4 linked regions of the Caenorhabditis elegans genome follow. The protein of the gene in region 3 interacts with the protein of the main gene of each other region in a pairwise test. Each region holds a gene or a part of one and is shown on either strand. Other genes may lie near its edges. The genes, in order: T10E9.1, fbxa-88, skr-20 and fbxa-167.

What was found.
Region 1: the proteins of skr-20 (region 3) and T10E9.1 interact in a two-hybrid assay, tested with the Caenorhabditis elegans proteins (one large-scale study listed by BioGRID).
Region 2: the proteins of skr-20 (region 3) and fbxa-88 interact in a two-hybrid assay, tested with the Caenorhabditis elegans proteins (one large-scale study listed by BioGRID).
Region 4: the proteins of skr-20 (region 3) and fbxa-167 interact in a two-hybrid assay, tested with the Caenorhabditis elegans proteins (one large-scale study listed by BioGRID).

The regions. Positions count from the first base shown.
Region 1 is NC_003279.8:6,543,036-6,547,312, reverse strand, and holds T10E9.1 (F-box domain-containing protein), read right to left. Parts: upstream 2,204-4,277; coding exon 2,121-2,203; intron 2,078-2,120; coding exon 1,522-2,077; intron 1,446-1,521; coding exon 1,222-1,445; intron 1,177-1,221; coding exon 1,059-1,176; intron 1,007-1,058; coding exon 818-1,006; 3' UTR 720-817; downstream 1-719. Other genes in the region: acdh-4 (Short/branched chain specific acyl-CoA dehydrogenase, mitochondrial), read left to right, coding at 29-125, 174-319, 370-585; T10E9.2 (C2H2-type domain-containing protein), read right to left, coding at 2,436-2,508, 2,556-2,977, 3,028-3,268, 3,328-3,480, 3,526-3,779, 3,828-3,987, 4,139-4,277.
Region 2 is NC_003283.11:16,141,242-16,145,208, reverse strand, and holds fbxa-88 (F-box domain-containing protein), read left to right. Parts: upstream 1-2,092; coding exon 2,093-2,109; exon of another isoform or gene 2,110-2,156; coding exon 2,157-2,240; exon of another isoform or gene 2,241-2,287; coding exon 2,288-2,930; intron 2,931-2,978; coding exon 2,979-3,167; 3' UTR 3,168-3,201; downstream 3,202-3,967. Other genes in the region: fbxa-18 (F-box domain-containing protein), read right to left, coding at 556-1,003, 1,435-1,512, 1,557-1,594.
Region 3 is NC_003284.9:13,222,122-13,225,482, reverse strand, and holds skr-20 (Skp1-related protein), read left to right. Parts: upstream 1-1,945; coding exon 1,946-2,467; downstream 2,468-3,361. Other genes in the region: skr-19 (Skp1-related protein), read left to right, coding at 775-1,242.
Region 4 is NC_003280.10:13,639,226-13,644,509, forward strand, and holds fbxa-167 (F-box domain-containing protein), read left to right. Parts: upstream 1-2,263; 5' UTR 2,264-2,336; coding exon 2,337-2,533; intron 2,534-2,583; coding exon 2,584-2,667; intron 2,668-3,593; coding exon 3,594-4,251; intron 4,252-4,304; coding exon 4,305-4,499; 3' UTR 4,500-4,598; downstream 4,599-5,284.

The sequences.
Region 1 (4,277 bases), on a different chromosome or scaffold from region 3:
AAATGGACGTAATAATCATCAAGTTCAGGAGGACAAATTGGGAGTTCGTTCATCTTCTACGTGCCCACTTCATTTTGATAATGTACGCGTTCACAAGTCGGCAATTCTTGGAGAATTTGGAAAAGGTTGACTATAGAATTAATAATTCCAATTTAAGTACACAATGTTTAAAGGTTACAAGTACGCAATTGAATATTTGAATGCTGGTCGTATCGGAATTGGAGCTCAAATGCTTGGATTAGCTCAAGGATGTTTTGATCAGACAATTCCATATCTTCAACAAAGAGAACAGTTTGGGCAGAGAATTATTGATTTCCAGGTGAGACATAAAACATGACAGAGAAATATATATATACAATAGACTTCTAGGGAATGCAACATCAAATTGCTCAAGTCAGAACTGAAATCGAAGCTGCTCGTCTGTTGGTTTACAATGCTGCTCGTATGAAGCAACACGGATTACCATTTGTTCGTGAGGCAGCAATGGCGAAGCTCTTTGCATCACCAAAGAATTCCCCGTCGAGAAATACTATCGTGACTGTAAAATTGGAACGATTTACGAAGGAACTTCCAACATTCAATTGAGCACCATCGCGAAGCTAATTGACGCCGAATTTAAACAGAAGGCCTGAAAATGTACCTCTCCTCCTTATTGCGAGGGTTAATTCGATATTCTCATTTGATAAATATGGATTCATGTTGGTGTTCTAAGGGAAAATGTTGTTTGAAAATTTATTCTAATTTGTATCTATTGAACGTCTAGTTATATAAAATTATAAGAGAACGAGAGAAAAAACGAAACGTTACAATTTGATTATTAATAGAATTCTTCGTTTTCCCCATAATCTGTATCTTCATAGTCAGATTCATCGAGATTATCTTCATAACGTTCGTAGTCATAATCGGGATCAAAATTGCTATCCTCATCGTTATCATAATCATCATAATTGTCATCGTACTCCGAAGAATCGTCAGCGAAATGGGGTAGACCGAGTAGAATTTTCTTCTGAAAAATAACGTATTTATTTGGAGACATGAAAACTGAATATTGAACTTACAAAACTAGGCGAGAAATCATAATTTCCGGTTTTTCCAATTTCTAAATTAATCCAATTCTCACTTTTCCATAAAACTACAAGTCTTTGATCATCTGGAAGTTGCTTGTGATATACATTGCTGAAATTAAGATATTCAAAAAATAATTGTCAAATTATGACATACTGGCCAGAGTCCTGCTCAACTTGTGTAAATCCTGCAGGAATATTTTCAAAATCTAGGCCACTTGGGTTCATGATGTCAAGTTTCGATCCAGTTGATCTGGTAGCCACGAACTTCTCGATGACGTCACAAATAAGGTCACCAGTAAACTTCTTGGATTTGAGAGAGATCACTGACGCTTTTAGTGCCATGACGTCTTCATAGGTTGCTGTGGTGATAGTAGAGATCTGAAACACATAATTTCTCTAGTCACAAGTTATATGTTTTCTAAAGTGCAACGCATATATTCATAACTCATCTTACCTCGATTTTGTCCATTTTTTGCACAATTGCCGCATTTTTCCCGAGAAAATCGAAATCATCGTCATCATCACGAGCTTGTCCGTCTATTTTCAAACCATTCAGCAAACTTCCATCACATTTATCAAACATTTTCCAGAGAAGGTCACATTTTCGCGGATTTCTCCAAAAAATGGATTGAACTTTTAGAGAACTTTCCATGTTATCTAATGTCTCCATAAACTTATTATTCAATTCCTCGAAATTATCTGATAATTCTACAGTTAGGAATCCAATAACAACATTATTTTGAAAACACATTCGATTAAGGAATGCGATAGCCTCATCAATTGGTCGAGATCCTTCAATTATAATATCATTTTTCGAAGATTGGGAGATTCTTGTGTCGCATTCGGGAGTCATTTTAAACTTGAGAGAATGTACATCTTTGAATAGTTTAAATGTAAGTTTTACGAGAACTCCTACACTGTGAAGATCCTTGATATAGACCGATGGAATGAAGAGTTTTGTAGATGAAACAGCATGATTCATAGTAGAAGAGGTTGCACGAAGTTTGCATCTAAAGTTTTGATTTTTTTAAAATTATTTAAGGAGAATAATACCTTGAAATTAAATCACATTTCTCGATAAGCTTCTCTAACAATTCTGGGGGCAAGTCTAATATTTCGATAGGTTTTCTCACCATCTGAAATTCAGAAAAAGCAATTATTTCGGATCAGTTTGTTACAGCAAACCTTGGCGGAAATTTTGAAAATATATCACAAATAATCTGAGACCTGAGCTGTACAACAGAAGTTGGAAACAAAAAAAAAAGTTGAAAATAGTTTTAAAAATTGAAAGCATTTATTTTTTGAGTATCGAAAAACTATTTTTGAAACTATTTTAATAAATTAACAACGAATAAATTACTACGTAATCTAACAATCATCTGAATCACTACTGGAATCGTTTGAAATATCAATCTTCTTCCTTTTTGCTGCTGTGCGAACACTGAAAAAAGAAAATTGAAAAATTTAATTTAATTTTTACAAACTCACAGTTCTTTGATATCTTTTAATCTCATATTATTCCAATTATTTCCTGCTATTCGTTCCGTGGTAGTTTCCGATTCCATATCTTCTCCTTCTGATGATGATGACTGATCTTTCCAGTCAACTCCTCGCTTTTCAGCTTCTCTTTTAACCCATTCACGAACTTCAGCTGGCCTCATTTTTGATAAATCTTTCACTTTAAGTTCTGTACTTTTCGATCTTTCTCGTCTCTCATCTTTTGTAGTAGCTTCTAATAACAAATTCCGTTCGAATCTATCGTCTTCAGAGTTTGATTCATCCGACGAAGACGAAGAAGAGCACGATGATTCATTCCACGTGTCTTTCCTATTTCGAAAGTTATCTTGGAGAACTTTGAAGGTTTCAGTGAGAAGTTTTCGAGCATTCATAGCAGATCTTCGACCACTTGGCTGAAAATTTTGATATTTATAATTTTAATTTTAAAAGTATTTTGAATTACCGTATAAATTTCTCCATCAGTGTCTCTTTCACTTTTGCCAGGCGTAGTTACTTCTGAGAATCGAGGAACATTCAGGTAACTTCTTTTAGCTAATAAATCCATTTTTGATTTTAGCCGCTTCCCATCGACAGACAAAATATTGTGTGGTTCATCATCAAGTCCACCATCCGAATAGTTATTTTGTCCCATCAATTCATTCGCGGTTTCAGTATAAGACGCTGGACGAAGTTTTGCAGTTTCTCTGGAAATTCGAAGGGTTTAATTTCACGAAAAATTTTGTAGAATATTCTAAAAAAGAACCTGGTGACGACTCTAAATCCATGAAGAACGATATGAAGTAGAAAATCAATTTTATTAAATGATCGATAGCAGAACCCACAAATGACTGTCTCGTTGATGAAATCTTTTGGAATAAAAAAGTATTGCTGTGGAAGAGTATAATCATTTGGATCTCTGAAAGTTTTTGTTCTGATAAGAACATATTTTGAAAAAAATTACGTTGCATTGAACGTTGATTCTCCCTTAATCGTATACTGAAGAGGTGTGAATGTTCTAATATCGAATGAAGCTCTGATTTCATGTTTCGCCGATAACCATTCATAATTCATGAATTCTTCAGTAAAAAGGTACTTGTGATGTTGATCAATATGTCGAAGAGCATACATTCTCATAATGAGTTGAGTCGTGAAAATGTGAGCATGGGCACGTGGACAGAGACAACAACGCCACTTGAATTCATCTTTTCGTAGGTTCTAAAAATCGAAAAAATTATTTAAATTTGAAATTGAAAAAAAATGTACCTTGAAAACATTAGAATATAGAAACAATTCCTTGGGAAATTCAAAAGTGTATACTTCTTCTTCTTCTGGATTTTCAGCGTTATTCACATTCTCACCGGCTTCGTTCGCAACTTCTTTTGGGTCAGGTTGGACATGTGTGAAGGATGAGCTCGATGCGATACTGAACAAATAATAATTGAAAAAAACGAATGTTATGCAGGCAGGCCTTATCAAAAAATCAGAGTTGTGCTACGAATTCAGTAATTTTGGTGCTCCAGAATATATCAAAATTGTTCAAGTTTTACTACGCAATAGTTTTTTATTTAACTTACGGATCTAGACAACTATGACTTGATAATCGAAAGTGTTGTTTAATTGTTTCAGAAGACACCAAGCAGCAACAAACAAGACAATATCTGACTTCTTCCTTCTCCATTCCACTTCTTTTCTTCAACTTTGTCAGGAAATTCT
Region 2 (3,967 bases), on a different chromosome or scaffold from region 3:
TTCAACACTGTCTTTTGATTTGATACCATCTCTAATCTTCCATTTTGGTCTATTTGATGTTACAGTAATTCTAGAAAATAGAAGACTTGTAAGCAACTTCTTGTTTCAGAATAGCGGTCCAAGAATGGGTGCAATCCGTCCAATTGGTAGATTGTTGGAAGCATTTGTAATGACGAAATTGATGAAGAAGAAAACGTACACAGTGCAGCCGACAAAATTCTGAAACTCCATTGACAACGATTGTTCTTTTTACAGATCCAGCTAAACACTTTAAACTTCCTAGTATTTGATTACTCGCTAATTGAAATATTAGAGCGTTGGCGTTTTGATTATTATTTCAGTCTACAGATACACTTGCTAATCATCCAAAACTTGCCATCAAATTTTAATCTTATTGTTGTTTTTTTAATTAATTAATAAAACGGCTGAAAAAGTCTAAGATGCTCAAAAGTTCAAAGGGGTGCTGCCCATGTCGCTGAACCAAGCAAGAATTTACGGAACGATTCGAGAATGTTTTGTTATGTTTTGAACAAAATTTAGAATGAACGTTTTAACTTATTTATTTGATGACAAAACAGTGTCTTGATATTTCTTCCAAATATCCCAAATCTCTGGAAAATCACCGTCGAACTTTTCGATTTTACGGTAATCAACTGTAACCAGCATCTTAAGAAGTGCAGGGAAAAAGTAATCCCGAGAACGTTTTGTAGCACGATCGCATACGCAGACTTCTAACAAATCCAGCTTCTGACTTTGATCTTTCAGTATTACTGCCAAGTCGTCAATGGCAAGTTTCAAAAAGTATTCCTCTTGGAAATGATGCTCATTTAGTCCGTTGCTAACCCAGCATCCATGTTGTTCTCTGCTGGCATATTTGAATATTTCCTTGTCTAGAACTAACATGACCCAATCAAAAAGAAGATGAAACTCGATGATTTTGAAGCCATAAGCTTTGCTATCTATGGTGTCACGGAAGAATGTACAAACTTTTCGGAGAGTCAGTCTGAAATAATTAAAATTGTATGCTTTTGAAGCTAGAACAAGCTGCCTAGCAACGTTTCATGTTAAAACATGACCTGAAATTAGTGAAAATTTGAAATTTGACCGGCTTGTCGACATCGCAGCGGCTGGAAACTAATTTTTAAGTTTGTAAAAAATTGTTTAAATTCTCTTCGTCCATCGACTTTAAAATACCTAAACCAACTTGAAAACGCCTGATACTATTAGACCTAAAATTAGTCGGTAATTTCAAAAAAAATTAGTATCCAGCCGCTGACAAGTCGGTCAAATTTCAAACTTTCACTAACTTGAGGTCAATTTTTGAGCGGCCATAACTTTGTTTTTGAAAAGATTTCAAAAAGGGTCATCATGAAATTTGGTGTTTTCAGACAAGTTTGAGTCTAATAAAAATTTAAAATTTAATAAAATTCTCACTTATCGATTGGCGTCAACTTTTTCAAAATTTCATTGATAACATCTGCCGGAAGATTAACAAACAATGACTGTTTTATTCTGAAAACTCAAGTGGTGAAGTTAAAAAAATAATAATTCCTTACTTGTTTATGCTAGCTCCCTCCGGCTCCAATTCGGCCATTTTCGTTCAAGTCTGAATGTTTAAAGCAGTTAGTTTCTTTCTGGAAAAATTATGATTCACATACAATGGTGTGATAACACAAACGATAGTTTTGATTGCAAGGGGAGAATGATGATAAAGCATGTAAATATAGCAAATTTTCGCACGAAAGTAGATTTTATTTTAATCAACCTATGTGGTAGGCTTCTACGGCACTGCAAGTAGTTTTCGCGGACCTCTATTTCTGTTGGCTGCGTAATAAACTTTCGGAACTTAAAACTGAATAAATTCGTTCAGAAATTTAAAAAGTCAACAAGTATTTGTAAGTTCTTGATATACGAACACGTCATTTCTTATCAGTATTCTTCAGCAAACTCCCATTGAATTGTTATCGCACTAGAAAGAATCGTCACTTTTCAAATTTTGACTAGACTTTCATTTCGGGTTAATATTCTTATCCACTCAGTGTTTCATTTTTGTTCCAGATTAACAACTAGCCAACTAAACAAGCTAAACTGGATGATACCTACAATATTGTGTGCTTTTCCAATTTCTGTAAACTTTCGATAATATTTTGTTTCAGTGGAACCACAAAAACATTAACAATCTATGATTTGCCGTCAGATATTTTCAACGAAGTTTTAGATAAATTGGAGCCCATTGAAAGGTGAGATTAACTAGCAAACTCTGAAAAAAATGTCGGAAACGTTTCAGATTACCTCTTCGAAAAGTCTCTCAAATCTTCCGAACAGCTATTGATAATCGAAATCACGGCTTTAAAGAAATTGCTATTGGTATTTATGACTCCTTCGAGCGATATTCCACTCTTCGACTTGACGAAAAGTTAATTGAATACAGAAGAGACTATGATGATTGTATGGTGAAGTTGGGAAGCAGGAAATGCACTGTTCTGAACGAAAACTTTGAGACACTGGCTCTCAAGGATTTCTTTGAAATTCTAAAACAAAAGACTAAGTTGGAATTGGTACAGATCAACTTGAACGTCAACGTAACAAAAAAAGACTTTCGAACCAAGTGCTTCACTAACCTGCTGAGCACTCTTGAAACTTTGAAACCAGTGAAAGCAAAATGTGTAATCTTTGAACTTCATCCTAGTGAAGTTGCCATGGTTTTGCCATGTTTTGGAGAGCTAGAGCTTATTGAAATATTTAGCACACAAGCTCGTTACAAATTAGATGAGCTTATTTATCTGGAACAATGGAAAATGGCAAAACGATTTAAAGGTGTCTCATATTGCGATGCGTTTTCAATTCCTGTGGAGAGTCTACTACACTTTGAGCATTTCGATATTCATCTGAGCACTTTCACAGTGGAAGATTGTTTGAAGATGAGAAATGCAAGTTTAGAATCTAAACATGTATAGTTAGTGTTCTATTATTTTCAGGGTCTTAAAAAAAGTGGAAACTTCAAATCTGGACGATTTCGATGTCAGAAACTGAACAGGACAGAAATCGCAAAAGTTTTCAAGCCGGACTACGCGGGAGAGCCCTCACTGGAGTATGAAGTTAATAATGAAATGTTCATCATTGATATTTCTTATGGTTCCTTGAATATAAAAAAGAATAATTTTTGATAATTTAAAACTGCTACAATAAAAATTTAATTATATATGTAGTTTCCAATTTTTTTCAGTTTCAAAAATTTATTTTTTAATGTTTATAAGAAAAATGTTATCAAATTTCGAAGTTTAATTGTCGTATTTTTGGGGTCAGGCAGGCGTCAGGCGGGCGTTAGGGAAGCTTTAAGCTGGTTTCAAGCAGGAAAATTCTTCTGCCACCACGGAAGCCTTACACGAGTTACACATTTAAGTACGCATTACCCAACAGAAATCATTACTAAGTTTTCATGCAACTCATGTCGAATCAGAAAGATCACTTTACTATCAGTTATTAGCATTAAAATTTCTAGATATTGCTAGTTAAACCTACATGGATGGCGGTCTTAGAACAAACAGGAAGAATTTTGTTTGCAGTCCACAATGATATAACAAAACAAGTGAACCTGGACATTTGTGTTTCTTTTTTTTCTAGACAGTCTCATAAGAATTGCCAATTTCAAAAAAACTTTTTACGTGCTGAATATCCTCAGACTCTGCACTGGAGCAGCACAAAACCATAACATTCAAGTTCTTCGTTATTTTGGTTGTTTTTAAAGTAAATGCTATCCAAATTTTATTTGGAAAAAAAACCAGAACAATCCAGGAGTTTTCACTTGTACCATCTCTTACTCCATTGAAAATAAAGATCAAGCTCCTTTTCAGATACGTGACTCTTTTGCGCCGTGTGCTTTGTACGCTGATTCACTATCAGAAATTCGAATTTTTCCGAAACAAAATGCACAATTTCATAACGCACTTGCTTACACACCATCTCG
Region 3 (3,361 bases):
CGAATTTTTTTGCTATTTTCACAGGAATAATTTAGTCGTTCTAATACCGTGTGAGCCGAACAAGAAAACAAAAAAAAATCAATTTTTCCAGACCTTTCCTGTAATGAAATATTAGGTTCTTATCTGATGACACTCTTCCTTTTGATAGTTGTGTTGTGTGAGTTCACGTGACTTTCCATATTTCTAATGGCCGTGGAAGAGAAACGCGTCGTCTGCCAGCCTTCGGGGGAAGACGTTGGTGCTGAAGGTGTGCTTGAGGAGCGCACATAAACTTATCGATTTTCTTGAAATCTTGATTTTCAAACATTTTAGTAAAATAATACATTCTTGAAACGCTATTTTCAAATCAGTTTTTCCTAATGTGCTATGTAATTGAACTGTTCAACAGAAAGTAATGATTGTCGTGACTTATCAGTGACTTTTTTTTCATTTTTTTTGTACCAACTAGTGGTCACCCATCATATTCTTGACATACACTTTATTGATCCAAAAATTTCTGTGTTTAACATTGTAATAGTTCTAAGAATCGGATAAAAAAACTTTATTTTCAGCTACGTTTTTTAAAGCAAAAGTGCGAAAGAAATTATTACACATTGAATTTTATTGTCAAACGATTTAATTTAGTTTTTTCTTCTGCAAGAAACTACATACAAATAGAACTTCATCTAGAAAATTTAAGGAAATAGTTTGAATCCTGACTATTACTATTATTTGCTAATTTTTTTTCTTCTTTTCATTCTTTCTACTACAGACATTTTCAAGTATTTCAGTGTAATGCAAGTTGAAGAACCTGTAATACTCTACAAACTTCGGTCAACAGATGGGCAGAGATTTCTGGCAGATAGGCGAACAATCGGAATGATAGGACGGATTGAGGACCTATTTAGAAATGCTGGATTAGACCTGATTCCTGCCGATCAACTGCAGCCAATTCAACTAGAAATCCCTGCGACAGTGATGAGGAAAGTGATCGAGTGGTGCGACCATCATAAGCACGACCCGCCCTACGACGAATCTGAACCGGAAACCAATGATATTCCTGACTGGGATGCGTCGTTTCTGATGGTGAGGCACAACATGCTCTTTGATATAATCCGAGCCGCGAGGGATTTTACTGTACCTGGTCTCTTCGCCATGTGCTGCCGTGTCGTCGGACAAAATCCTAGAGAGATTATTGACGGATTGGTGAATGATGAAGAGGAGGAGCAGCCAGTATATCCAGTGGTGGCTGCAGCGGCTTAGGAATTTCATTTCAGATGTGTGGTGTTTCGTATGGTATGGGAAAATTTAGACTATTTGTTTTCATTTCAGTAAATATTTGAAGTGAGAAAAATGTAATCATAAGATCAAAGTTGAGCCCATTTTTGAAATTTTTGTGATAATTTGGGCAACATTTTAGCAAAAGTATTCTTCGTCTTTTATATTTTACAGAAAAAATGCAAAAACCATACTAATTTTGTAAACAATGCAACTTTATTTTTCAAGTTTGAATCAAAAATTCTCTTCTCGATTCCCTACAAAAAAACTTAAATACAACCACCATACTTCTCAGCCACCACCACATTTAATGCTAATTTCCCGTGTTCAACCGTCTTGTATTCAATTTTATTTTCTCTGCTTCTTCGTTCAATTTATATTTTAAAACTTTCGCTGTAGATTTGTAATATAGAAAATTTGCCTTTGATCAACTTGACTCACAACGCCATTCACTTTTCTTCAAAAAATTTTACAATTCCAGTTTTTAATCGTTTCATTCCATCTTTAATAAATTCATAGTGTATTCTTCCAGCTCTTTTCCACAGGTCTATGATTCGCCAAATAAATAATAAAAATTACTTTAAAGATATCTCATTTATATATTTATTTTTGTGTGGTTTGAATCCACTCAATAATATTTTTGAAACAATTGCAAAACTATTTAATCAATTACCTTTAGTTCCACATCATGACCACACCACGATCTGCGCCCTTGTACAAACTGAAGTCAGAGGATGGTCAAATTTTTAATGTCGAACGAGGACCAATGAAATTTTGTGCATTTATCAATCAGAAGTTTATTGACCATGGAGTGAACGACAGAAATTGTGAACGAGCAGATCCAATTCTCGTTCCATTCCACTCATCGATTGTTCAAGCTGTAATAGAGTGGCTTTACCATTATCAGGACAACCCGCTCGCCCGACGAGACTCCAAAATTCGTTACCACGATTTTTCCGAATGGGACAAGCAGTTTTTCAACGTGGAATCGGGAGTTCTTTTTGCACTACTCAATGCTTCTCATGCGCTTGGAGTCGAAGATTTGATGAATATGGGGTGTGCAGCCGCAGCAGAATTGATTCGAGGAAAAAGCACGGAAGAAATTCGCAAGATCTATGGAATCAGGTCAGATGAAGAACAAATGGAGGAAGCGTTGGCAAATGGTGGAGAGGGAACATCTGCAATGACATTCACAACGGATTCTGATTGATGTTTAATTTCACATATTGTGAAGAAGATGTTTGAAAGAATATATTTATACACTTTGATTCAAGTTTATTTGTGAATAAATTATTTTACAAACCTCATAAATGAAAAATTGAAGTTATAAGAATGTAAAAGAATAGTTGGAAAACAAAACAAACAACTAAAGTGTCACTACTAATTAAAAAATTGCTTAAAATTAAATATCAAAGAACCATATGTAAATCAAGTTCTCGTTGTTTCAGAATATGAGGTGAGCCCCCAAATTACCGGATTTTTATTTCCGATTTTTTCTGATTTTGCATCCAATTTGGCCGAACTTGTACATTTCTGGTGTTTATTGCAAAATACTAGGTTTTAAAAGAACTAAACGTTTATAAACTTCATGACGGAATTGAATGCAGCGTTCTGATTACTAAATCTGGAAAATTTAATAGTGTGCTTTTTTTTAAAGTTTTTTTTTTCATCTGCCTTAATTTGCCCTTTTTTGTGGAATATTATTTTTCAATTTTGTTAGTTAAGTAAAGTTTCACTATGCTCAATTCTTCAGACTTTGGGGGGATAACTTTTTCGAGAGTTGTGATTAAAAGATACATAATATTCATATATCCAGTGCCGGTTGTTTCCAATAATAGTTTTTATTGTATAGCTTTTTTCATGCTAATCCATTTCATCTAAAATTTTTTATGTATGCATTAGGACATTGCATTAGGACATGATAATTTCATCAACAATTTTAATGAAAACTGAAAATTGAACATTGAACAAAAATGTCAACAATGTTATACGAAAATTGTATATAGTTTTTCAAAAACAATTTTTAAATCTCCTGTAAGTTTTCCACGCAACTTGTATATTTTATAGGCTTAATTTAAGCAACTACTTGATATAGGAGCCCTTG
Region 4 (5,284 bases), on a different chromosome or scaffold from region 3:
TGCCAAAAAAGGAAATTTTTTCCAAATTGGCAAATTGGCAAAAAATGTTAAATTCTCGCCAAATTGGCAAATTGCCAAAAAAAAGGAAATTCTTGCCAATTTGCCAAAAAAGGAAATTCTCGCCAAATTGGCAAATTGCAAAAAAATTTTAAATTCTCGCCAAATTGGCAAATTGCCAAAAAAAAGGAAATTCTTGCCAATTTGCCAAAAAAGGAAATTCTCGCCAAATTGGCAAATTGCAAAAAAAATTTAAATTCTCGCCAAATTGGCAAATTGCCAAAAAATTTGCCAATTTGGCAAGAGTTTTATATTTTGATCATATTACCAAATTGGCAAAAAATGTAGTTTTTGGCAAATTGGCAATAATTTCCTTTTTGGCATAGTGCCAATTTGGCAATTAGGTAAGCTTTTTTTTGCAATCTGCAAATTTGTCAAGAATTTTAATTTTCGCCATTTTGCCGGATTGGCGGAAATGTAATTTTTGGCAAGAATTTCTTTTTTCTGGCAAATTGGCAATTATTCATTATTTGAAATTGCCAATTTGGCTAGGATTTTCATTTTTTGGCAATCTGCCAATTTGGTGGAATCTAGAATTTTTGCCATATTACCAAATTGACGGACTTTCCATTTTTGGCATTGTGCCAAGTTGATAAGAATTTCCTTTTTTTTGCACTTTGCCAATTAGGCAAGAATTTGAATTTTTGGCAATTCGCCAATTTGGCGAGAATTTTAATTTTTGGCCATCTGCCAATTTGGCATGAGGTATAAATTTTGACAAGTTGCCAATTTGGGATAAGTTTTATTTTGGGAGTTGGGCAATTAGAGGAGAATTTCAATTTTTGGCAATTTTCTAATTTGGCAAAAAATTTTCAACAGCGTTTTATGGGCAAAAACAATTAAAACTGAATTTTTAGAAAGTTAAAATAATTCCAACAACAATAATTCTTGTTAATTAAATTTTTCGGTTGTGACAACGTCATCACAAAACATTCTAAACCAATTTAAAGATATTGAGTCCTAAGAAGCTAAAACTTCAAAAATAAATTATATTTTCAGCATAGTTACACCGAAAACACACCGAAAAGAAGAGAGAAAATGCGTTTATGGTCAGCGAGCGGCAAGAGACAAAAAACGAACGTAGAAGGAGAAGATGGGCAACACACAAAAATGTGACACATTTAGAGAGAGAGAGAGAGATAGAGAGAAAAACAAAAGACGCGAGCGGAATACACAAAAATGGGTGCAAAACGGGTGTATGAATAAATAATGGGCAAATATTGGAACAAAACGGAGGGTTTTGTCGGGAATAAAAGGAATATTTCAATAGCTCATAGTTAAAAATTTCAAGATTTTCACAAAAATGAATGTCAAACTTTAAAATTAGTATGGGACTTATTACTGTTGTGATTTTTGATGAGATGAGTTCAATTCTACCAAAAGGACACAATTTTCATTTTTGGTTTTCAGTACAGATAAATTATTATTTTTGAAACATTTCACTAAATCCGGGCCTTCATATTTCACTCAAAATTAACATTTTTCAGAATGTTTTTACAGAAACTTGTTTCAAATTTTGAGCTCTTTTTTAATTATATAACGAAATTCAGCTTTTTTTTGTTGCTATAATGCTATTTTTCTAGGTAGGGCACTTTTTTGCTCAATATGATTATAACCAATGTGCAAGAATTTCCAAAAATATTTAAAATGGTAGCATTTTGAAAAAAAATACTTTTTTGGGGCTTTTGAAATGTATATCGTAGAAACAGAGACGGTCATACATTTGTCTAAAAGATGAAAAAATCTGCTATTTTTTTAGGTAAGACACTTTTTTGCTACATGATAATAACCAATGTGCAAGAATTTCCAAAAATATTAAAAATGGTAGCATTTTGAAAAAAATACTTTTTTGGGTTTTTTGAAATGAATATCGTAGCTACAGAGACGGCCATACATTTTTCTAAAAGAACAAAAAATCTGCTATTTTTTTTAGGTAGGACACTTTTTTGCTAGATGAACATAACTACTATAAAATTTTTTTAATGGTGGTAGCATTTTGTTGCTCTTATGGTGCAAAACGACCAAACATTTAATTTTTTTAAAGTTTGTCCCCAATTTAATGAAAAGAATACGGTATTCTACCGGTCGATGCGACTCTTATCATTCTACTTCCAATTTCTCACTTGTTCTGTGCTGCTGTCTCTCCCCTCTCATATTTTTCATCTCTCTTGTCTATTTCTCTTTTCCATCTCCACTGCTTCCCCTCTTTCCATTTTCCCGCATTTTCATTGATTTTCCGTCCAATTCTAGAGTTTTTAAAGTTAAAAAGGTCCAGTAAAATGCCTGCCATCCTGGAAACCAACCCAATTGCTATTCGAGCTTGCATTCTCTACGAGGTCCGCCAAAAGCGGCCAATTTTCGAGTCTTTCAAGAATTTTTGCAATGCGTTTGGAAATGATTTTATGGAATATCGAGAATTTGAGCGCTGGTTTTATCGATTTTATCATGGAAACGAGGATTTGGATTATGATATGAGGTAAGTGTAAAGATAAGTTCTAAAATGTAATTTATTAGAAAGAAATTCAGCCGGGAACCAAAAACAGCATCGCTATCCGAGTTGCCAATTGAAATATTGTTCAAAATTGTGGAAAACTTGAATTTTCTGGACAGGTTAGTTTTAAAAAATGTTTTTCTTTGAAAATGTATGTTTTTTGGACGTGGGGATTTTTAAAAAAATATTCTTAAAATTAAGCAAAAAATATATGCATGATCAGAAGTGGGCGGCAATTACCGTTCGGCAATTTTTTTTTGTCGACAAATTTGGCAAATCGGCAAATTTCCGGTATGCCGATTTGTTACCAGAAATTTTCAATTCCGGCATCTTGCCGATTTTTCAGAAATTTTCAATTCCGGCAACTTGCCGATTTGCCGGAAATTCTCAATTCCGGCAATTTGTCGATTTGCCGGAAATTTTTAATTCCGCCAACTTGCCGATTTGCCGGAAATTTTCAATTCCGGCAACTTGCCGATTTGCCAGAAATTTTCATTTTCGGCAACTTGCCGATTTGCCAGAAATTTTCATTTTCGGCAACTTGCCGATTTGCCAGAAATTTTCAATTCCAGCAACTTGCCGATTTGCCGGAAATTCTGAATTCCGCCAACTTGCCGATTTGCCGGAAATTCTCAATTCCGACAATTTGTCGATTTGCCGGAAATTTTTAATTCCGGCATATATGAAAACTTTAAAATTAACAAAAAAATAAAAAGTTTTACTATGAAACTTATAAAGTAATTTCAATACTAGTATCTGAAAATTTAAATTAGGTCTTCCATAAGGTCAGGCAGGCAGGCGTTAAAACTCCTGCCGGCCTGACCTTAAGGTGACCCACGCCTGCCTCTCGCCTCAAAACGCGCCTTATGCTTCATTTCATAATTGGAAAATGGACAAATTAATAGAAATGACAAAATTTGAAGTTTGAAGATTCACATAAAATGTAGAAAATTTTCAGACAGGCGTGAGGCCCTGAAGCCGGGCCTGCCTTGAAAGCCCTACTTTAAATATTTCAAATAACACTTCCAAAAATTCAAAATTCCAGACTTCTCCTCCGCAACGTCTCGCCATGCTTCCGCAGCATCGCCGAGGATCACGTCAACGAGGTCACCAACATCTCAGTGACTTCTATTCCAAACCACGTACATGTATGCTTCTATCATGAAAGTGACTATACAGATATTATATGTAAACGTGTGGATGATGATTGTGTAATTACTAAAATGTCGCAATACGAGGATTCAAAGGATTGGAAAATTGAAGGAGTTTCTCATGTGACTGTTGCATTGAACTATCTGTCTAGGGTATTGAAGAGCCCGAAGTTGAAGCTGGAAAAGTTAAGACTGGACTTTTTGGAGCATAATAAAGAGGATACCCAGTGTATGGAAGAATTATTAACTGTGCTTGAAAATTCCGAACCCCATGTTCTGAACATTGAATTCGAAGGACTAAACTTCCACGAAACATCTAGTGTTCTCAAAAACCTGAAAAATGTTGAAGAGATACAACTATCAATGTACAGTATACAAGAGTTGTCTGGAATTGAGAAGCTCGTTGAGCTGGAGCAATGGAAGACAGCAAAGACACTTGATATATCGAGTCATGAAGACATTGAGATGGATATTAAAGATTTGCTGCACTTTCAATCAATTGATGTTCGTCTGAAATCGTTTTCAGTTCAGGATGCGGTTAAGGTTAAGGAGGTGAAATACTGGAAAATGTTTGACCCTAAATTAAATTTTATTCTGATTTTCAGACCCTCGAACTCCGCACCTCTGACTTCAGATCAGGAACGTTCAGAGTCCTTAACACAGATACTCGAAAAATCGGAAAAGTATTCAACCCAAAATATACAGACGCTGCTAACAACACATTCAACTTCAAGACTAAAAATTCCTCATTTGAAATAACTATGTGTTCCAAGGAAATTTATGTTAAACGGAAGCTATAAAAGGAGTCTAGCAGTCATAATTCCACGCTTATTTATATATCTTGTTGCCATAAATTGAGTTTAGATACTTTTCAGAAATAAAGTTTTATTAATGAAATATAATACTGTGCGCCCAACTTCCCCCTTAATTTTTCCGTTTTACCACATTCTGAAATTTTTTTGAAAAAATGGCTAATGCCATTCGATTCCAAATGTCAAAAACCCCGTGTCCACAATTTTTATGAAAATACATGGGCAACTACAGAAATTAGATCAAAAAATCATTTAAAAAAAAACCATAAATGTAATTGCAAAAGAAGAGTGTTTCAGATTCAAAATTGTGATAATAACATTATTTATAAGCATTCTATTCATATTTGAATGTTTTTGAAAAAATTGAAAAATTGAAGAAAAGAGAAGTTCGTCTCGATATAGTGCTATTTTTAGGATGTTTGAAAGTCCGCTGTGAGCTTGCTTCTAGAGTATCGCCGCTAAAAATTATCGAATGACTAGGTCTCATATGCAAGCCCAATTGGCCCTTTCTGACGAGCCCCTTGTTAGTTGAGCTTTTATGTTAATATTTCGTTTATTCGCACGTTGTTGTTAAATGAGTTGTATGAGTTGTTAAAGTTAACGTAAAACAAGGTTTCTTCGCTGAAAAGTGGCTGGTTGTTAAATAAAGTAGGTTTAAATTACACAAAATTTACAGAATTGCTTTGCTCACGGAACAATCGCTTTACCGCGACTGTAATAAACAAGCTCTAAAAATATTCTCAATTTGTTTGCATTATCATGTGGACGGTAAA